Schizosaccharomyces pombe: one gene and its partners. The gene in region 2 interacts genetically with the main gene of each other region. Each region holds a gene or a part of one and is shown on either strand. Other genes may lie near its edges.

Region 1 (7,740 bases), 4.5 Mb from region 2:
ATCGTTTGGCTCATCATTTCATCCTTCTTCTTATAACACTCGAGAAACGTATTGAAGAAGACCTCCTTTTCCTCATTCACAGTTAAGTTTTTCTTAGTATCATACGTACCTACTTGTTCCAAGTACTCTTTTTGTGCGACTAAGCTCTTTTATTTTGTTGGCAAATCTTTGTTTACCAAGTCGATCCGTTGAATCCACGTTTTTTCAACTCCAAGCAGAGATCGAATCTCGTTTCCTTATTTCTCGATATCGTCAGGGATATTGTTATTTTATTTTTTCATCCCGTCCATCCATTCCCACGGTTTTTCTGTGATTGCAGTCTGTACAGTTTAACCCCTTACATACTCCTGGAACCTTCGTTTCTTTTTGTTTCAGCTTCCGTTCCTTATTCCCTTGCTTTGGAATAGTCTTTTTCTTTTTTCTTCCACCTACCCGCATCCCCTTCCTCGCTTTTTTTGTGCAAATATCACAACGCAGTGAGCGGGCTGAACTCATCCGTATTTTCATTTAAAGAACTCGATACCAAATTCTTAAACTTCGTCCGTATTTTACGGTATTATTTGTTTTCGTTACTTGCTAGTCTCCGCCATTTGTACCCTGCAAATCTCAAATACGTTTTCATTATGCCTGACTCACCTACCCTTCACCATAACCATATTATTGGGCTTGAGAACGGGTCTCTAACCTCTAACAATAATCATCAAGGCATGGCATCTGTTTCGGTAGGACAATTTCAGTATCCCATCTGGTGAGTTTGTCGATATTATGCCTCCGCTAAGCTATTTAACTGTTTTCCATGTTTGCCATAGCTTTGCTCACTAATGTGCCTACATAGTGATGCGTACGTGAATTTCTCTTCTAGAAGATGCTTGCTTTTTTTCCACACAAATCAATCAGTATATATTTTTCGTTTATCCTTGTTCAATGCCTTTCTACTTCCGGCGCTGTTTATTTTGAATTTTCTGAAATTTTGACTGTAGACCAGCCACTTTCTGTTTTGAGTTTTCTTTGTTTTTGACACTCTCCTACCAGCATACCGGTCTTTGTTGTCGTCCTTTCTTTGCTTACCGTTGTTACACTGTCGCTCGCTATATCGTTCCGTTCAGCATCCTCTGTTAGATATTCAATTGATAAAAAGCGGATCGGTATTTCTAGTTTTCGTTGTTGTTTTTTATCATTCCGTTGTTTATTAAGATCTCCACCATGTGGATGCTTAACGGTTCGTAAAGCGAGCTCTTAGCCAATCATTTTCGCTGACGGCCCGATAGACTCGGCAGAGTAGGTGGAATCAACAAGGGTGAAAATTTCGTTAGGTTTACTGAAATTTTTTTCATCCAAAACTTTTTCATCTCAAGTTAAACTCTGTGACTTTTTAGCTGATGTTGGATTGCTGGTATTACTGATTGATTGTGGAATGTTCATCTCTGGGGTGTGTCTTTTTTTGAGGCACATCATGTGTTACTTTTGTGTGTAGTCGTTAAGTACTACCAAACATGAAAGCAAGCGTCTGAAAGAACAATAGAAATTTCACTAGTTTTAATGCGATTGAGAGGCTTTCATGTTGATTTTTACTAACAATTTTTAGGTCATGGTTAAATTCCCTGGCAGATGCCACATTCGGAAAGCGGCCATCTTCCTTTGAATTTATCGTAAACAAAACCCGCTTTTCGTCCGCCCCGGTCGTTGCAACCATCATCATATCTTACTATCTTTTAATTCTTGTCGGAGGTAGAATTATGCGTAATAGGCAACCTATCCGTCTTCAAAAGATTTTCCAATATTATAATTTGACTTTTTCCATCGCTTCAGCTATCCTTGCACTTTTGATTTTTGAACAAGTAGCCCCTGCTATTTACAAGCACGGTTTTTTCTTTTCTATCTGCAATGAGAAAGCATGGACTCAACCGCTGGTATTTTTATACTACTGTGCTTATATTTCAAAATTCGTACGTCTCCATCGTTTTTTGACCATACTTTTTTCATTCTAACATACGTTTTAGCTTGAATTGACAGATACTTTTTTCCTTGTCCTCCGCAAAAAACCCCTTCAATTCCTTCATTGCTACCATCATGGTGCCACTGCCGTTCTTGTATATACTCAAATTGTTGGCAGAACTTCCATCAGTTGGTTGATCATTGAAATCAATTTATTGGTTCATGTTACTATGTATTATTACTACTATCTTGTAGCCAAAGGTATTCGGGTTCCTTGGAAGAAATGGGTCACCCGCTTTCAGATCGTTCAGTTCTTTGCTGATTTAGGTTTTATTTATTTCGCAGTATACACGGAGGTTGCGTATCGGTTGAAGTTTTACAAAGCCTGTATGGGCCATTGCTCAGGACATCCTTTAGCGGCGTTCTGTGGTCTCGCAACAATCTCTTCATACCTTGTTTTGTTTATCGTCTTTTACCATAACACTTACAAGAAAAATGCTGCTCTCAAAATGAAAGCTAAGGCTGCAGCTGCAACAAAAGGTAACTCATCAGAATCTTCTAAAAATGCGGACTTAAAGCGTCTCTCAAAAAGTAACGCTTCTATTGCCGAGGTTAAATGCAATAATATAGTTACTAATCTGTATCCTATTTCTTCAGGTTTAAACAATGAAAAATAATGTTTTCGTGGTACCTCTTATGGTTTTTAATTACCCGATTTTGCTCTTACTTATAACTTGATATTGAGCCCTAAAGTCTACAAGTGCCTTTTTTTTCTTTGTTCTGCTTAACGTTGCATTTAGAATTACCAATTAATAGTTGGAGTGACTTACGGGCGACGATTTTGTGAATTTTGAAAGTACTTAATTGTCCGTTAGCTTTACATCCTTGTCTATATTCGATTACTACCTTTTATCCAGTGAATCCTTTTTCCCATTCCTTAATCAAGATTTATCGACGTCTTTACATGTTCTAAACTTTTTAGCTAAACCTCTACTAAGTATAGATTTGTTAACTTCGTGGTATCTTAAGGTCAAACTTGATGGTGTGATAATATAATTAAAAAAATCAGAGCCAAAATCTTTTCTTCAATATAATGTTCTGAATCTTTTTTTCCAAAGATTAAAAGTCCATTTGTTTAATATTTTATATTAAAAAACCATGGTAATACTAATGCACAACTTATGAAAAATGGGTATAAATTAGTAAGAAAATATACGTTCTAATAACAGTACTACAGTTGTGTAAGGTTGGTAAATTTCTCTGTATAACTTGTAGTCATTGCAAGTGAGCATACGGAATTCATTATTTATTTTGAAGTTTTCTTACTATTTCAGTTAGGGAGCGGCGCCGGTTAATCTAATAACAGTAAATACGTTTAAAACAAAATATATTAGTTTTTTTTTTATTACTATTATAAATGACTTACACAGCTTAACGGCAAATAATGATTAACCCCCTTCAGTCATAAATTGACTCAACTCATTTCTCTCATGTCAAACAAAAATTTTCCTTCATTCGCGATAGTATACGAAATATACACTCCTTAATCGGCATTTTAGCAATATCAGCACATAATAAAGAACATATGAGAATACAGGCAAAGCTTAATAAATGTTTTATCAAGAACTGTAAATGACAATGTCTCGTGCGGATCAAATCCTACAGCATCTCTTAAGGGAACTAATACATAATGATTCATTAGTTGCTAGTGAATGGTTAAAACATTCAAAGAAAATCATTCAAAATGTCCCTAGTTCGACATTGGTATTTCATGAAATGATAGAACATATAAAAGGGTAACGTAAAGCAGATCTGCCGATTGTTGTTGGAATGTTAAGACTAACTTGATCTAGCATCTGTGACAAAATGGGTATACAAGGTCGGGAAGATTTAGAAATGCCTTTACGAAACGCTTGTGAAGTTCTCAATCGTCAAACCGTTAGTGTCAAGCAAAGTATATTGCATGCCCAAATATTAAAACTTTTCCTTGAATTATCTAAACCACCCTCAGATATACATGTCCCACAAATTCCCGTCTACAAAGATTGCAACAAGAATGAACAAGAAGCTATAATCCAGTTATTAACTAGTTGTGAAGGAGACCACTGGTTGATGCCTGACTGGTCTTCAATGCCTGATGATGAAACCATAACAGAAGACTCTGAGGAAGAAACTTTCAATGGAAATGCTAATGAAATTACGATACCAGCCAACATCCACATCCCTATCATCGAGGAGTCTGACAACGCGTCTAACAATAAGCTATGTACTTTATTTAAAAAAAGCAAGCAACCGAATTTAGATTTTTTACAGATAAAACCCTTTATGTTTTGGGATTCTAGTTTGAACGAAACTGTCCGAATATCTGAAAGAAGTATTATTCGCGACTCTATATATATGTTGATAGGTTATCCAAGTTTTTTCTTCTTAAAAAATGGTTCAAAAATTGAAACACGACTTTCTTTATTACCAAAGCTTCATCACATGAGCGAAGAGATTCTTCGCAGTATAATGACAGAACTTGCCGATTACGGTTCTAACTTGGAATTTTTTCGACAAAAACTAACATCTCCTAGCGATTCGTTTTTTAAAAGTGATGACCAAAGTACCAAGAATGAGCCGTTTCTCTCTGTTGTCTTCATTTATCCTCAAATAAAACCACATCTCTTAAGTTGTTTAAAAAACACACACCAAGAGCTTATTAAACTCGAAACAGAAGTTTATAACGCTACAAAGAACTGTACTCTTTTTCAATTTTTTCAACATGTAAAAAAATTCGTTGATCCACTATTGTGCTTTCGTTTCGCTTACGAAAAATCAGCAACGAATATGTGGGATTTTGTTAAAACATTGGAGTTCATATATTCAACAAGGAATTACTCTTCACAAATGTTCAAGCTCTATAAAGCTTCTGCTATTGCAATGTTATTGTGGATGGTTAATCAAGCCTCACAAATTACCAGTTCTATGACTATAGCCAGGCCTCTATATAACATTTTAATCCTTTGTAAGGATTTTCCTAACAATTTCCTTGAGAAAGACAATATTGCTCTCCAATTGGGTAGTATTGTTTTTGACCAATCTCCAACTCTAAACAATTTACTTGTGGAAATGGAAATATTAATTAGAAGCAAAATTTTAAAGCTTGGTAAATCTTTGGATTTATCTTTTGACTTTCAAAGTTTAATGGGGGAGTTTGAAAATTTAATAAAACAACAAGAAGAAGCTAAAAAGTCGTTATGGTCAAAAAGATTTAGTCGTTTCTATTATGGGCATTATGTATTCGTCAACACCTGTCATAATTTTTTCCTAACACTATATCAATCTTTTACTGAAGTTGATGAAAATTCTATATTCAACGGCGTTTTTGAAACGCTTAATAATGATGTTGATGATGAATCTGTAATAGGGGAAAAAGAGAAACTTATTTTAAAGCAAAAGCAGAAATGTTTATCTGAATTTTTTGTTGATGACATAAAGAAGCTCTTAAATGAAGAGCTGCTCAATTGTCAAAAGCAAGAGCTACCAGATGTCATGGAAAATACATATCAAATTTCGACCGTTTCAGGAATTAAAAATGATCCGTTATTTACGTTGGACCAAACCTGTAATATAATAGCGAAACTAGCGGACAATCTCATACATCCTTCTGTTCCCATTGGTAGTTCTGCCTATCGATGTAGACGAAATTTGGCTGACTTATTATTCCTTATAATGCCATGATTACGATAAAATGCCATAATATTTACCATTACGTGTATAGAATCAATAGATTTCATAAAAGTAACCTTTTGGATGAGTAAAACCATACTGACTTACATGCGATTTCTCTAGTTTCATGTCGTTTACTAACGAATGATATTTGAAAAAGACCTATATCTATTAAAAAAAATGATAGTGTGCTTTAATGAAGGTAGAAAATCATTAGTCATATTTATTTGCTTTGGGTGTTGCTGATAGTTTGCATCACCCATAACAAACACGAGTCCTTTTGAAGAGGCTCTTTAACTTCTTCTTATTCATTCGTAAATCCAAGGTTCAATTGTACGATCGTAAACTTGGATTTCCGAAGGCTGGAACCAAAGTTTAATTTCACGATTAGCGCTTTCTATGGAATCAGAACCATGGCAAACGTTTCTACCAAGGTCGATACCATAATCACCGCGAATAGTGCCAGGGGCAGAATCCAGAGGGTTACTGGCGCCCAACATTAAGCGACCAGTTTTCACGGCTTGTTTACCTTCCCATATCATGGCACATACAGGGCCTGATGCCATGAAACCAACGAGTTTCTCATAAAAAGGCTTTCCTTTATGTTCGGCATAATGTTCTTCCACAAGATCACGACTAGGAACTAAAAATTTTAGAGCACGTAGTTTGTAGCCCTTCAACTCAAATTTTGAGATGATGTATCCAATCAGTCCTCGCTGAACTGCGTCCGGTTTCACAGCGATAAAAGTTTGTTCTGTCGACATATCAAAAATGCTTATACTCGGTGATATGAGGTGGTTGAGTAGATGGGAGCTGTCCCGTCTACTATCCCATATAAAGGATTACGGAGCAAGGACAAATAACACTCACAATATGATTGCATAAACAAAGCGGAAACAGATGTAAATAATAAAAAATGATAAGAATCGTTATAGTACACCTTCTTATATTTTTAGAGCACCAAGCCTCAGATATCTTAATGGTCGTAAATTATTGTTTACAAAAAATGCATATTTACAAACACATTACAAAGCATTCAAAGCGTACCCGTAGACGGTAAGCCAGTTTTGTTTTTTTACATACGTAAAAACTCTCCACAAATCAAAAGATTGTAAGGCTTATTGTATACTATATAATGGATTTGTTATTATCCCAATCGCCAACTTCTTACTGTTTTAGGACCATGTAACGAATGAAACCACTAATAAAAGTTAGAAGAACTTGTAATTGATACCAACTTAGTATTGGGATACCTGCAAAATTTGATTATCAACCAGTTGATAATAGATACAATTCCAAGTACATCTACATCACTTCATGCAAACGGTTTTTTCCGTACATATATTAGTTATCCCTATACATATAATTGTTAACATTGTCTTGATATACGAATAAGGCTTTTATGATTATTCCTAGAGTTTTATCCTTGTTTGCGAATTTATGTATATTCGTAATGGCATATACTCGAAAATCCGGGATTTAGATAAGCTTAAATCATTATATGTCTATCTAATGAGCATGACAGCCGTCTCACAATTTTACTCATAAACGGACGAGGGATAAGTTGTTTTTCTTAACAATTCAGTTGTAGTATCATCACTTTTTATTTACATTCTTTTCGAGCGCTGTTTATCTGCACATTAAGTCACCATTGTACGCATAACCATTATACCACCAAAAACGCAAAAAATATCAGTTTAAGCTGTAGGTTGTTAAAAAGAACCGTTTTCCTTTCAAAAAGGTTTACCTTTAATATTTATTATTGATATTAGTGACAAGAGGCACTGAATATCAGTTTTGAGCCAACTTTGAGGACATAAAAGTGCTTAGATCGGGAAACGTTTCTTTTGCGATTCGTCGTCAAATTTCCTCTTTTCTTTTCTTTTTTATTTCAATTCTTTTTATAGGTTATCCTTCATTCTTTTTCTACAACTGTTATTCGAGAGTTGCACTAAGAAATCACAAGTAATTCCAACCAAATTTAGACGCTGGTTATACATTATCGTTTTTCCATACCTAAAGGGTAATTTTAATTTTTTTCCTTCGTTTCCCATATCCTACTTTGCTATTCATTTTTCTTTAGAATTTAGTATC
Region 2 (7,199 bases):
TTATGAGCGGGAATGGTGCCGTGCTGGTGGATCCGCTGCAAACTTCATTACTCCATTCCTCGACAATCAAGTGAACTTACATAATCAGTACGTTCCTGGTTCACATGGAAAAGAGAGAAAGCCAAGGAGACTTTTAAAATTGGAGGAAGCTATGAAGATTACTACTGATGCATTTACAAGTGCTGGAGAACGACACATCGAGGTTGGTGATTCAGTTCTTGTTAAGATTATCACAAAAGAAGGTGTAGAGACAAGAATTATTCCTTTGAAGAAGGATTAGATTTTTGTAAATATGACTTTTTTATGTTCCACTGTCACAGATATAGCTTCCTAGAATGGCAGCCTGCCTGTCAAGCTCAATTCCAATTTCGGATTGCATGATTATGTATGAGATTTTATCGGAGATATCCCTATTTTGAAAAGCCTAGTCTCAATTTATTTTACAAGTTAAACATTTTTTTTTGTCTTTGATGTACATTGCATAGTTTCATGGCGTATTTATGAATGTGTAGAGGATAAGTTCGAAACAACTTAAACTTGTAATTTTTTTAGTCATATTTATGAAAAGGATTAGTTAGGAAGTGATAGAATATTTGACATAAAAATCAGGATTTCAGTACATCAGTAATTTAAATTCCGTTCTTTGACTCTATGAAATCACTAGACGCTTGGCTAATTTATCATAAAGAAAAAATTATTTAATGATTTTACTTTTCTTCAATCAACCTCTTTTCATCCATATTTTATTTTCGCATCAATGAATAAAAATTTATGATGGGTAAGTAAATAGAATTATCTGATTTGTTATTTTGTGGGCATCACTTCTGTATTCATGTATTATTAATGAAACTTACTTAGTTTTCATTTATGTCTCTCTGTGTACTATTAATTTAATTCAAAAAATTCAGAAATGACCTGTCAAAATAGCCTCTTATGAATGCGGTTAATGTATGAGTTATTGACTGATAAAAAAACTAGATGCAGGCACCCTTGCTAAATTAATCAATGATGATGATGATTATTTTATTTTATAGCTTGACATTCGTTCTTTTTTTTAACCTTTTATTAATAATGGGTTAAATTATAACATCATATCGACTGGGGATGTAGTTTAGGGGTATAACGTTTCATTCGCATAGTTCGCACCTTGAAAAGGTCCCGGGTTCGATTCCCGGCATCTCCAATGTTAGAAACTATTTTTCCTTTTTATCCACATTTGTTTTATTTATTGACTACACGGCAAACAGGTTACATACACAAATGTATACTAGAAAAAATATAAAAGTGAATTTACTAATATAAGTAAGATGAGAACATTCTCTCAATGAATACACAAAAAATTTAAATCTATGACTTTGAGGAAGTAGTTAAAATAAATTTGTTCATGTAGCTAGCATAAATCATCGGCGTTAGAAAAAGCGGTGTAAGAATCATGTAAGTTCGAAATGTAAGTTTCTTCAGGAGAAGAATTTAGCATTTTGTGCAAATGAATTAAAGTATCTAAAGCGTTAACATATTAACAATAATTATTATATTCAAAAATTTACCAGAAAACGTAGAAAGTCCATCGATAAACAAGGTTTTTTTTATTCTTTCGAAATGCGATTTACAAGCATCTGCTGTCCATAGGTGATTAGCATATTCTGATAAGCATTTCCAATCAATCATCCGTTCCTCTGCAACATTAAGGTCCATCATTCTGAATTTAATTAGCTTCTTATTTAAAATTTTATAATTGGAGTACCTTTCAATTAACCATATACTATCGCCAAGTTTGAAAGGGGAACTATTATGTATATCTCTGGAAATTAGTGTGTAATACTTCCACCTACAATGATGACGGTGTCGATTTCTCATGTTTTTAGAAATTAGACTCCATTGAATAGGGGATGAAGGATTGCTTTGCAAGTATTGATTAACCGTTTTGATTAATTTTTCTTTCTCCTGGATAGTCCATGGTGAACGATTGATTTCACCAGGTTGAATGTAGTCGCGCCAATGATCTCTGCAATGCATTGGTAGTCTATTCGACAATTTGCCAATTAAGCTCCAGGATGTTCCATGTTTTTCAACAAGTCTATTAGTTAGTTGCAATTTGGAAAGTAAACTACATACTTTTTCAATTCTGCCTCATCTTCTATAGTCCATTTACATTTTTTCTTAAATGGATTATATTTTCTGCGGAGATAATTGTAAATACTCTTTTTATCCCTATCGATAAGCTCATCTATTATTAATTAGTAACAAGTGATAGTAATTGACTTACACAAACAATTATATAATGTTTTCATTTCATCACGATGGTTATCAGACCAAACATATTGAAGAAATTGTTCATCAGACCAATTTTTTTTCTGTTTTTTAATATTTATAATAAAACAGCAAGCTAAAGACCATACCTTTTTAAACATAGCAATTTCTTTTTCCAAAGTGATAATGTCGTTTGCTCCCCATGATCCAGACGACGCTTTTTTAACGTATTGAAACCTTTCATAACCTGGAATGTTAAAATATCCCTTAAGATGCCTATACACAGTCCTTCGTGAAACATTGGGCACTTGAATTTCTAGACTTGAATTAGCGGATTTTTTTGAAAGCACTCAGGTGTCATACGAAATTGAATGAGTAAATTATTGAAAGGTTTTGGAAGTCTTTTGGTTTTAATAAGAAGATCTCTCGCAGCCACAAAGTTTAATTCGCTTTCTTTCAAAAATTCATCAATTAGTTGACTTAACAGAACCCAAAAAGTGGGTGTCCAGTTGGTGTAATCTCTACTGAATACAAAGTCTTTATATGAAGTAGTGCCTGTTTTTTTGAAGCCTCGACATGTTTCATGGTCTTTCGCACTTCCAGCAATTGCTGTTTTCACATTTTCAGGTGATACCATAGTCTCATCATAATTGTATTCATGAAAGCTTATGGGGTTTCCCAAGTAAATGAAAGAACTTGTATTTTTCGAGTCACCAATGGGTGATAAGAGTTGATCATCGACAAAGAGCTCTTCATTGTCCTCTGTATCCGGTCTGCAACTTAAATTGTTTTTTCCTTGCATAATAATGTTCACTTGTCTGAAGAAATATTAAGAAAAAAACATTGACAAAAGGTAATCAGTATAGCAAGGGACCCGGGGTGTAATAGTTCATGTAAGACAAAACCAAATAGCGCAGGCAACTTCAATTATTCAATCTATAATTGAACTTTTGATACTTTGCAATTCTGAATTCTAATTAACTAGTGAGCCTGTTAAAATTGGGTAACATTATAGAGCGTTGGTGTAGCTAAATAGTGTACGATACATGCAGTGATGGTTTTTGAGAGCATTTTTAAAAAAATTTCAAAATTTCTTAAGATGTGACTCTCTTGTTTATGATATATACATGTAAAATTTTTAAAATAGAAAATTAAGTATGAGTGGTTTAGAAGAGTTTTTTTAGTTGAAAACGTTTACAGGTATCTGCCTCATATCAAACTTAAAAAAAAAAAAGAATAAATTAAAACGATAAAATATCTCTATTGGCTTTTGTTTACTAATAATCACTATTTTTTATCAATTAGGTACAAAGTTCCTGCCTATGTTAAAATTATTAGGGTAATAACGTGTGTCACCGATATAATTACTACGATACATAGTATTTAATAACGAAACTGTAAAGCTCGTTAACTTTCCAGTGATTACCTTAACTTTCCATCTACGTTAGTTGAACCAGCGAATGTAGCTGCCATTTACCTACTCCAGGGAACACTGTTAAAAACGTCTTTTTGTGAAAAGGAAGGAAAAATAGAGGGATCTTCAAAAAAGTTATTAAATAATTCAGTGTTTCTTTTCTTTTTTTTGCTAGCAATATACCACTGTAAGTAAAAAAAAATACACTAAAGCAATGAGTCAGGAGGACGCTTTCTACGGAAAGGGTAGTTATGGAGCTAGTAGTGGAAATTCGAATATACCTCCTCAAGGATTTCAGCCAGTTTATCCAGTTGCTGGCCAGCTAGATAATACCGCTCCTTATGTCGGGGCAGTTGCTGAGGGTACAGCTGAAGGCATTGTAAGCAATGGTGAATACGCTGTTGGAGCTATGGGTGCTGCTCCTACCAACATAATAGGATCTGTCGATCAACAACCACCCGTTTCTCATACCTCTCATAAGTCTCGTAGACAGTATCCTGCTGAGGTGTTTGAACTTACAAATACCTTAGCAGCGTCACCGGCTCCCCCTTCTCTTTCAGAGCCCTCTTACGTTATGGCACGAACTCCATCCTCTTCACCATATCCTCATGATCGCGCAGAGGTGGGAACTAAATCTCTCTCTGCACAATTTGGCGGAATGTCACTTGGAGCAGATGGTGCAGCAGCTATGCCTACCAATGAGTTAGTTTCTGTTGATTTGTACAATCAAACACCAGAAATTTCTGACTTAACCTCTCCTCCTCCTCCTATTAATTTACCCTTAAGCTATTCCGCTACTGGAGCAGCTACTTCCAATTGCCCTCCCAAATATGTTCGATCCACGATAAACTGTGTACCGACAACAAATAGCTTGTTAAAAAAGTCAAAAATTCCATTTGCATTAGTCATCCGTCCATATACTAGCTTGGTCGAAGAAGATGATCCAGTTCCAGTTGTTACTGATACTATTATATCACGATGCCGCAGGTGTCGTATGTATATCAATCCTTTTAGTATCTTTATTGACAATGGCCATCGCTATCGCTGTAATTCTTGTGGTATTGTTAATGAAGTACCCCAGTCATATGACTGGGACAGTTTCAGAAATGTCCAACGTGATCGCTGGCAACGTCCTGAGCTCAATTATGCAGTTGTTGATTTTATTGCTCCTCAAGAATATATGGTTCGTGCTCCACAACCTTTGGTTTACGTATTTTTAATTGATATTTCGTTTGTATCCATATCTTCTGGTATGGTTGGTACTGCAAGTCGTGCAATTCTGGAATCATTGGATCGCATCCCCAATAAAGAAGGACGTGCAAAGGTGGCTTTTATTGGTGTAGACAGTGCCCTGCATTTTTTTTCAGTTTCCCCTGGTGCTGAAGAAGCCACCCAACTAGTTGTTTCTGATTTAGAGGAACCGTTTTTACCCAGGAATCAAGATTTGTTACTTAATTTACGCGAATGTAGACAAGGCATTGAAAACTTACTCGAGCGATTTCAATCAATGTTTGCAACTACCCGTGATTCTAGTAATGCCCTTGGACCAGGTCTTAAGGCTGCCCATCGTCTCATTGAAAATATTGGCGGTAAAATTTGCTGTCTCATTTCGAGTCTTCCTAATGTTGGTGTTGGTAAATTGGAGTTACGTGAAGATCCTAAACTTTTGGGAACAAATCGTGAATCTAGCCTTCTTCATCCCAATGACTCCTTCTATAAATCCTTCGCGGTGGAATGCTCCACGTCTCAAGTCTCTGTTGATATGTTTCTTTTTTCTTCTCAGTATCAAGATGTAGCAACCTTAAGTTGCCTTCCTAGATACACCTCTGGTAAAACCCAATTCTATCACAGGTGGAATGCTTCCCGTAGCGAGGACGCTCTTAAATTTGCTTCTGAACTTACTAACTATCTCAGTATGGAGATTGAGCTAGAGGCGGTGATGCGTGTTCGTGGATCTAACGGTCTCCGTATGTCTTCTTTCTACGGAAACTTTTTTAATCGTTCAAGTGATCTATGTGCGTTTCCTTCTTTTCCTCGCGATCAGAGTTATGTAGTAGAGGTTGTTATTGAGGACACTATCACCAAGCCCTTTGTTTCTTTCCAAACAGCTATGCTCCATACTACTTGTAACGGTGAAAGACGGATTCGTGTACTGACTATTTCTCTTCCTACTACCAATAGTATGACTGATTTATATGCATCAGCCGATCAAGTTGCCATTGCACAATATCTTACTGTCCGGGCTAGTGAAAAGGCTCTTTCTTCTACGTTGAACGAAGCCCGTGATAGCATTATAAGTAAGCTTGTAGAAATTTTGGAAGTTTACAAAAAAAATTTGGCTGGACAAAACACCGGTGCTGCGATCCCGCTTCAAATAAGCACCAATTTAAGACTATTACCATTGCTTTGTTTAGCATTGACGAAGCATACTGGATTCAGAAGATCTAGTCATATCTCATCTGACCTTCGTTCTATTGCTCTATGTTATTTAAGTACTCTGCCAACTCCTTTACTAATGCGTTACATTTATCCAACTCTTTATTCTTTGCACGATATGCCTATTGAAGCAGGAACTGTTACAGAACAGGGTGTAGTTCTCCCTTCTGCGTTAAATCTTACTTCAGCTTTGTTGCAATCTTTTGGTTTATATTTGGTTGATACACACATTCATCAATTTTTGTATATTGGTAAAGATGCAGTTCCGCAGCTACTGATAGACGCATTTGGTGTAAACTCTCTTGCGGATTTGAAAGCTGGACGTTTTACAATGCCAGTTATAGACAACCCACTTAACGTTCGTATCAATGCGATTCTCGGTAAACTTCGTTCGTTGGATAAAGGTTCAACTATTATGCCTAGTCTTTACCTTGTACGTGGTGATGGTGATCCACAATTGCGCTCATGGTTTTTCTCTCACTTCGTCGAGGATCGTAGTGAGAACTCTCCCAGCTATTTACAGTTTTTGCAGACTCTTAAAGAGAAAGTTCGTGACTAAAGGCTGTAAAATCTGGCTACTTTCTACAAAACTTTTTTAAATTGATTGTTCTGATGGTAATATATGCCTGAATTAGTGACATGATTAATTAATAATATTCAATATGGTTAAACATTCTTTGGTTTTTTGTATTTTTAAGAAAAAAAAAATTTAAATAATTGATCTAGTAAATATACTTGGTGCTTTTTATATTGATGAAAGCTATATATGTATCAAACTAAATTAGGTATTTGCGTACATGTAGCTTCCAGCCAGCTTGTACATAAATTTTAGCTTTTATACCTTGTCTATTTTCATATTACTTGATGTTGAAGTTGTTCCAAGAATAACAAAAGGTTCTAATAATTTAATTTAATTCATTACAATTGAGTTGCAGTGTATAGATTTTCAATTTCGCACTTTAGAGCTTCACATCTTCTATTTAAAGCATAAAAAAAATATTAAATATTTATTAAATTTCATTTTCATTGCAATTAGATTATATATCCAGGCGAGTATTCACTTATATTGAAAAACTAATTTAAGAATGTAATTTTGCAC
Region 3 (7,434 bases), on a different chromosome or scaffold from region 2:
TAAATTATTTTTCAACTCCTATAACAACTCACTATAATAAACAATATGCATTTGCTCCATGCACCAGCTAAACTTTACCTTTGTACGATACATTTCATTCTACAATGGTTAAACTTACATAGACGTTCATTGAATTTTAAATATTTTTTAACGTATTTTCTCAGATATTTATACCACCCTAAAAGAACTGCAAATAGACTCATAGAAATTCAACAGCAACTCATCAACTTTACCGTGAGAAGGAAAAAGATGGAAAAAAGTTAATTCTATTATAGCAAGCCCAGAATAAATGACGATATAAACTAATTTTTTTTGAGAATTTTGGCATTCTCTTCTTGGTATTTTTCAAAGTTTTCCTTAAAGAGATTGGCATCTAACGAGGTTTGGTTAGTACCACAGTTGAAATAGGGTTATTTGTTAATATCAACTGGATTGATAAAACATCGGTATTTCTACCAAAAAAAAACTTACTTTCTGAGTTTGCAAAACGAATAGCAAAAGTCTCTGCAGTAGGTTCTCCTTCACTAACATCCGCAGCAACGGTCCAAACCCAACTACGATCGCTTCCAACATTGGGAGTCAATTTCATCTCGGGCATCACTAAAAACAAGTTAGTATTCAGATACTACATTCTGAGAAACCAGAGAAAAGAAATAGTCAAGACACGAAAGGACAGTGAGCTTTAATGTATTAAGAAAAAGTATTTCAACAACACGTAGCATAATGTCTTTTCAACGTCTAGAAATGCAACCATTAATCTAATTGGACATACATAAGTGGTTAGCACAAACTTTCAAAGTCTTGTCGCGACGCATAACCAAACGAGTTTTTCCAGTCTCCTTATGTTTCAAGAGACGAGCATCACCAGTTCCACGTTCCTTCCATTCGCTTGCTGCCTTGTCAAATCTGAAAAGTTTAGCACGCATTTTGAATTCGACAGTCTCCTCTTCTTCATTAGTTTTTGTCTCGACTGCACTCAATTTGACAATAGGCTCAAAGTGAACCTCAGGGGAAGCTGGTTCAGCATCCTCATCTCCTTCAGCTGGCTTCTTCTCATCGTTCGTGGAGGCACCAGACTTGTTTTCTTGTTTGGCCACACCGTCACCAAAAACAGCTTTGGCTTCTTCTGTTTGCTTGCTAGCAACGTCTTCACTAGCAAAAGAAGATTTCTGCTCTTCTTTAGTAGTTCCTTGAGTCTTTTTTTCTTGTTCTGCGGACATTGTGGTATTGTGCTGATGGAAGGAAGAGTGTACCACGAAAAAATTATAATATACAGTAACTCGGTATTCGAACAAACATATTGGAAATGGGTGCTGTGTTAGTCGGGAATCTATAAAAAATCATTTGCTAATAAAATCTTTGCCTTAAAGCTACTAGTCTCTTGTATAACTTCTTTACTGATCAATAAGATGCTAAAAATTTTTTCATTTGTAGTCATTACACATTCTATAACTATTTGAAGTGTATACATTTTATACTTCGTTATGCATAGATTGTTCGGTGTTGTTCTATTTTATGATTGTCAAAAAATACTCATCATAAATAAAAGATGCTTACATTAAATCTTAACTATTAAAGTAAGATTATCACCTATTTTGAATAAAAAGACCAGTGTTTATCAATTAAATTTCAAACGTTTGTTCAACAGCTAGATAGCTTGGAAAATAAGTAAAACAATCCGAAAAGGTACGTGAAAGACAGATGATATAAAAAAAAGCAAAAAATTAATATTTGTAAGCCCTAGCTTTTAACTCTGGCATTAATTGCAGTTAAGTAAATCGTCCGTGCAGAAAAAAAAACAGCATATTAAGTGAGAATGCAATTACGATATCAAAACTCATTCATCTAAGAATCCATCACCTATTAAATTCACCCATTGGGTGACACAACCTCCAGAAGTAGATTCTATTTCTGATAACTCAGGAATGCATTCGCAATTGCAACCCAGACTTTGTCCACAATGATGAATGTCAGAATGCCGATATCCTAAATCACGAAAATAATGAACCTGTTCTTTCGACAAGAACAGTCCAGCAGCTAGAGAGTGAAATGGAGCGTCTCCCCATCTTTCAGTCCAAAAGCCTCCTGTCGCATCCATTGTACGGAAGAAGTTCTCATACTGTTCATTTCTGAAGAACTTGAAATTTGCAATCTCAAAATTGCTCCAAAAATGACACATATTATAGGACTCCCCTTCCATTGAAGATGTTTCTGCTGAATATGATGAGTCAATCATAGCATTTAAATGAGAGGAAAAGGAGAGACCTACTGTAGGGTCTTTTCTTGAAATATCGTAGTTTTCCTTTTTAGGAGCATCCAAAAAGAATTTCCACATGTTAGAGGTTAAATTATTATTTCGACGATAAGCCGAGGTATATCGAAACAAGTTTGGAACAGTGTCTTCTAATTCCTTTAATGCTACAACATAACCATATATTTTCCCATTTTCTTCCATGTAGTAGAAAGGGTCATAAGATATATCGCATGTGAAAGCTACGTCGGGTTCAACTCGCCAGTACCATTGATATTTGAGTAGCAACGGATGCTTATAAAAGAACCCCGAAAAAAAGCGACACATATGATGGTAACTTTCTGTATCACCATACATGATACCTCGATCTCCTTGACTTGCAATAGCTTCACGCGCTGCATCTACATCAACATTACCAGGAAATCCAAAAGTATCTTTTTCAAGCGTTCCAAATTCAACGTTCGCAGATGTAAGTTTAAGAATGGTTTCCTTAAATTTTTCATCAAAGGGCTCATCGTTTAAAAATGTATAAGGGTAATTAAAATGTCGATTAAAGTGTTTCTCCAATGAATTGATAGAAGAAACAACACCTGGCAAGTCTGAATTACGAGCAAGCATAACAAAAGTTGCATTCATTCTCGGATGCAACTGTGCTTCCAAATGAACGTTCTTACAGCCATTTGAAAACAAAGGATCATTCCTTTCATCAATCCGTCTAAGAGGAGGATGATTAAGTTTATAAATTAGTTGTTTGTATCCCATCTTTAAAATAAAAATTAGCACTATCAGTAGTAAGACCAGTACAAACCGTGCAGACAAAGGACATCTTTTTTTAAGTTTTTTTCGCAAAAGGCATCGAAAATTAATCCTGCTTTCAGAAAAAAAAACATGTTTGTTCCACCCTAGCATTTTGTACTGGCAAAGAGTAATAAATCCAGATGTGAGACTGTAAACAATCTTCCTCAAAAAGTAAACAAACATTATGAATAATCATTATGGTAGTAAAAATTAATCTGATATATATATGTATACATTTTCTTTTTAGTAGAAAACTATATAAGGGAATCAAATAAATCCTTTTTGTTTTATTAAGGAAAATGGATGATCATGTATTTCTGAGAAAACCCTGATGAATGGTTTAACAGATGACGACTTGATTTGTTCAAAGCATTTGATTTTTATTAATCAACTCTCGAAGCCTCTTTAAAAAAAGGAAATACTTTTCTTCTGTTTGTCGAAATTCAGCAACAAACTCTTCGCATTGGTCCCAACTCTTCTCAACTTTCTCAAAAATTTCCCAATTTACAGGAACAATGTGTAGTTCTTTTTTAATGTTGATCCAACTGTTGATAAAATGTTGGCTTTCAGTACAGTACTTGCTGTATAGCTTTTGAAAAACCATCAATTGGTTCCAATATTCTCGGTTTCTCACATTAAAGTCAATAGATGAAAAAATGGGGAAAGATGGTGGCTGAATCACTGGGATTGAAGGCATTGCAACAGAAGGAGATTCTGTGGAAATATTGATTTTGGAAAACAGATCACCTAATGAATGGTCATTATCTTCCTGTAGTTGCTCTTCAAATTCAGTCTTCTCCTTCATAAATGATGCCGAAGAGAAGTCGTCACACTTTTGATTAAATGTAGAAGTATTGCTTCTCATGAAACCAAAGGCAGTTTTATTTGGTAAATCGCTTTCCGGTTTTTCAAAGACACTGCTCGTCCATAATGGTGTTCTTATGTTATTACGAGTATCGCTTCTGCTTTTTGGCCCTGATGAGCCAAAGTCAAATGAGAAAGGATTAGAAGATTCCGCTTCTGGTTTCGTAAATACAAACGAGCTCTTAACGGGTTTGGATGAACTCTTAAATTTCGGGGTATTGGAATCTTCTGTAGCTTTAGAAAAGTAACTTTCAAAGAAAACTGAATTCGGGGAATTCACATCTGATTCACTCTTTTTGGAGAAAAAGCGATTGAAATCACGATATTTTGTAGAAGTATTTGTCTTTTCTTCCTTTGGTGTTTCTGGCACTTTTGATGACATACCCAATTTGAAAGAAAAAGAATATGGGGAGCTTTCTTCTGTTTTTGTAAATGTGAAAAAATCATTAGAAGTTTTGAACGAACTATTGAATTTGGGGATGTTACACTCTTCCGAGTTCGATGGTTTAGCAGCATTTGAGGATGGGGAGAATTCGAAAGAGAAAGGATTTGAGGATTTATCAAAATGGAACTTTGATCCAAAAGAAGAATGAATTGACTGTTCATTGGACGAAAAAAGATTGGATGCACGAGACTTATATACTGAAGGTTTAGACTCTGGTATTTTACCGTCATTAGAAGGATGCTTTGAAGAATCTTTCGGTCCCCCTTTTTTCTGTTTCATTGCTGATTTAGGAAGATAATCAGAATTATTGTTTTCTTTCTTCAAGCTTTCAGGTTCTTGCCTCTTTACGCGAATACCAATACCTGACCGAGGATCATATTTCATATTGTAAATGTGAGAGTACTCGGTATCTCTTGGAAATGAAGGCTTTTTGTTGAAATGTTCCTTTTTTCGAGTAGAACTTTTTTTTGAATACTTCTCGGAAGATTCTTGGGGCTTCTTCGTAGTTGAGGCAAATGGAGAAGACCATTTTGAATTTTTCCCTTTATTATAGGAAGCATACGCACTTGTATGCTTACTGGGATTCGAAGTAGAATTAGGCTTATATTGAGATCTTGTACGAGTACTAAGACCAAACAATTGATCATAAATGAGACGCTTAGTAGCGTCACTTAAAACTTCATGAGCCAACTGTAACCTTTGAAAGCGCTTTACTGCCCGCTCTTCGTCTCCAGGATTCCTATCTGGATGATACTGTAAAGCCAAGAACAAGTATTGTTTTCGAATTTGTTGGAAGGTAGCATTTTTTTGGAGTTTTCTGTAATAAATTACATGTTAGTATCAAAAATTACGCCTCCAAAATAAAAAGCTTACAAAATAGCATAATAGTCCACTGAGGTATCTGTTTCGGGCCTTGCTAGCATTTTAGATCATTCTGAAATTGATGATATATTGCTTCTTATTATATGGACGAATTTAAAGCCCTTTGTACAATTTCAATTGAATTCAACGACAAACTTTGTATGTAAATTGAATTGAGAACACTGCTCCACCTAGTTTACTTTAGAGGTATCTCTGAACTGGACTAAGCAATAAGGTCTAAGATAAGTTGTCAGCAAACAACAAAAAGCTATAATCATAAGACATCTAGTTAAGCAGAGTTTAATATTTTAAAATGGTTCAAAAAAAAATAAAATCAGAAATGTTCACTTTGTATTTTTCAGAGAAATTATGTCCAAGATATAAATTGTTTTGAAAACTACTTTATATTTAAAACATGTACTCCGTAAACTAACATGAATGAGTACCTTATGCTTGTAAACGCAACTGTTGCTCAAAATAATTGAATGTAAATGATAAACAATGTTTACTAACTTTGAACTTTTATTGTTACTAAAGACGCTAACTGACTCGCACCTAGCCTCTTGTCATTACAGCTATTAAGAACTTAAAGCTTGGAAAATGTACTTCAAAACAAATTTTATTACACTCTCCCTCTAAGCATTTTCACTACTTCTAAGCGTAAACTAAAGAAATTTCATTTTCCATATGAGATAATGTACATCAAAAGTTTAAAAAACTCAAAGGATAAGCAAAAATTTTTGCAAAACAAATTCTAAGTAAACAACATAGTTCGCCCACTGTTCAAACATTAAAAGCTACCCATTTCTTCGATATGGATAAACTTTGCTTAAGGTGTGCAACGTTCAGTAAATCGTGGGAATAAGCAGCACTCACGAACAGTGTAACGGTCGCACAACCAAGCGAGGAATCTTTCAAGTCCTAAGCCACAGCCACCATGTTCAGTAGTACCATATTTACGTTGTTCCGTAAACCAGTAGTAGGGAGCTGGATCAATACCTTCGCGTTTATAAGCAGCAAGGAGCTCTTGAATGTCGGAAATTCTCATACTGCCACCAACAATTTCTCCCACATTAGGCATTAAGCAATCAACACTCTCGGTAAGTTCAGGACGATCAACGACACGCTTCATATAAAATGATTTGATCTCCAATGGGAAGTATGTCAAAAAGATGGGGCGGTTGATTTGATCGGTCATCTTGCGCTCAGCAGCTTCAGCAATGTCATCGCCAAACTTGTGTTGCTCACCTTCTGGAGTCAAAATATTGTGCTCATTAAGATACTTAATCGCATCCTCGTAAGAAAGACGCATAAAAGGTCTTGAAGGCTTGACAAAATCAGGATTCAACTGCTTAATTAAAGGAGTAGCAATTGGATCATCAAGGAGTCGGTCGATAGTTTGGCAAATGAATTCTTCAATGATTTCCAAAAACTCGCCAAAGTTCACGAATGGCAATTCAAACTCCACGTGGGTAAACTCAGACAAATGGCGTCTGGTTAAAGATTTTTCTGCACGGAAACTCTCCTGAATAGTATAAACACTTCCCAAAGCGGGAAGTGCAGCCTCTAAATACAATTGACTAGATTGAGTCAGATAGGCATCTTGTCCATAATAATTAAATTTAAAAAGAGTTGCACCTCCTTCAACTTGAGTTTGCACCATACATGGTGGTGTAACCTCGGTCATTTTAAGATTTTCAAATGTATCTCTCATGGCACGAAGAGCACGAGCACGAACTTTGAGTACCGAAGAAGCAGTTTCACCGCGAATAACAAGGTGACGCTGATCTAACAAGTAGGAAGGCTCCGCTTCTGCATTGAGACGGTTTGTAAAAGCCTCTTCTCCGGTAGGAGCAGCATGCAAGATTTGATAATAATCAACAACAAGCTCGTGGTTTCCAGGAGCTGATTTTCCTTCGGGCAATTCCTTAATTACACCATATAAACATACGGTAGACTCGGGACCCAAATTAATAAAGTCATAACTAGCTCTATCGTAGACTTTTCCCGATAAAACACACTGCAAAAATCCAGTACCATCACGTAAAATTATAAAAATAATCCCTTTTTGTGTACGCATACGATGGACCCAACCGTTTACACGGACACGAGAATCACGAAAATTGGTACTATCGATAATGGCAATCTTCTTAGCAGCAGGAGCGTCTTTTGGTTCTTTAAGGACAATATTTTTAGCTGCTTCTAATCGTTTGGC

What was found.
Region 1: mutations in rtf1 (region 2) and mod21 together harm fitness less than expected from each alone (positive genetic interaction), as found in Schizosaccharomyces pombe (one large-scale study listed by BioGRID).
Region 3: mutations in rtf1 (region 2) and mug184 together harm fitness less than expected from each alone (positive genetic interaction), as found in Schizosaccharomyces pombe (one large-scale study listed by BioGRID).

What each region holds. Positions count from the first base shown.
Region 1 is NC_003424.3:246,598-254,337, reverse strand, and holds mod21 (gamma tubulin complex GCP5 subunit Mod21), read left to right. Parts: upstream 1-3,411; 5' UTR 3,412-3,567; coding exon 3,568-3,731; exon of another isoform or gene 3,732-3,788; coding exon 3,789-5,658; 3' UTR 5,659-5,759; downstream 5,760-7,740. Other genes in the region: fatty acid elongase Elo1, read left to right, coding at 624-748, 1,586-1,946, 2,001-2,612; nucleoside diphosphate kinase Ndk1, read right to left, coding at 5,955-6,410. UniProt on the Schizosaccharomyces pombe protein: Component of the gamma-tubulin complex that is required for the regulation of both interphase microtubule organization and nucleation, and mitotic bipolar spindles. Required for correct septation.
Region 2 is NC_003424.3:4,795,877-4,803,075, forward strand, and holds rtf1 (RNA polymerase I termination factor Rtf1), read right to left. Parts: upstream 3,252-7,199; 5' UTR 3,053-3,251; coding exon 2,614-3,052; exon of another isoform or gene 2,567-2,613; coding exon 2,400-2,566; intron 2,355-2,399; coding exon 2,267-2,354; intron 2,228-2,266; coding exon 2,116-2,227; exon of another isoform or gene 2,078-2,115; coding exon 1,745-2,077; exon of another isoform or gene 1,700-1,744; coding exon 1,548-1,699; intron 1,501-1,547; coding exon 1,391-1,500; 3' UTR 1,319-1,390; downstream 1-1,318. Other genes in the region: 20S proteasome complex subunit beta 6 Pam1, read left to right, coding at 1-280; sec24 (coincidence detector Sec24/Sfb2 subunit), read left to right, coding at 3,879-6,659. UniProt on the Schizosaccharomyces pombe protein: Mediates site-specific replication termination at the polar replication barrier RTS1, a barrier which ensures that replication of the mat1 locus in S.pombe occurs in the centromere-proximal direction.
Region 3 is NC_003423.3:295,934-303,367, forward strand, and holds mug184 (protein mug184), read right to left. Parts: upstream 5,459-7,434; 5' UTR 5,282-5,458; coding exon 5,232-5,281; exon of another isoform or gene 5,176-5,231; coding exon 4,298-5,175; intron 4,142-4,297; coding exon 3,414-4,141; downstream 1-3,413. Other genes in the region: Ran GTPase-binding protein Sbp1, read right to left, coding at 303-373, 472-600, 773-1,220; alpha-1,2-mannosyltransferase Omh4, read right to left, coding at 1,838-3,160; asparagine--tRNA (Asn) ligase Nrs1, read right to left, coding at 6,049-7,434. UniProt on the Schizosaccharomyces pombe protein: Has a role in sporulation.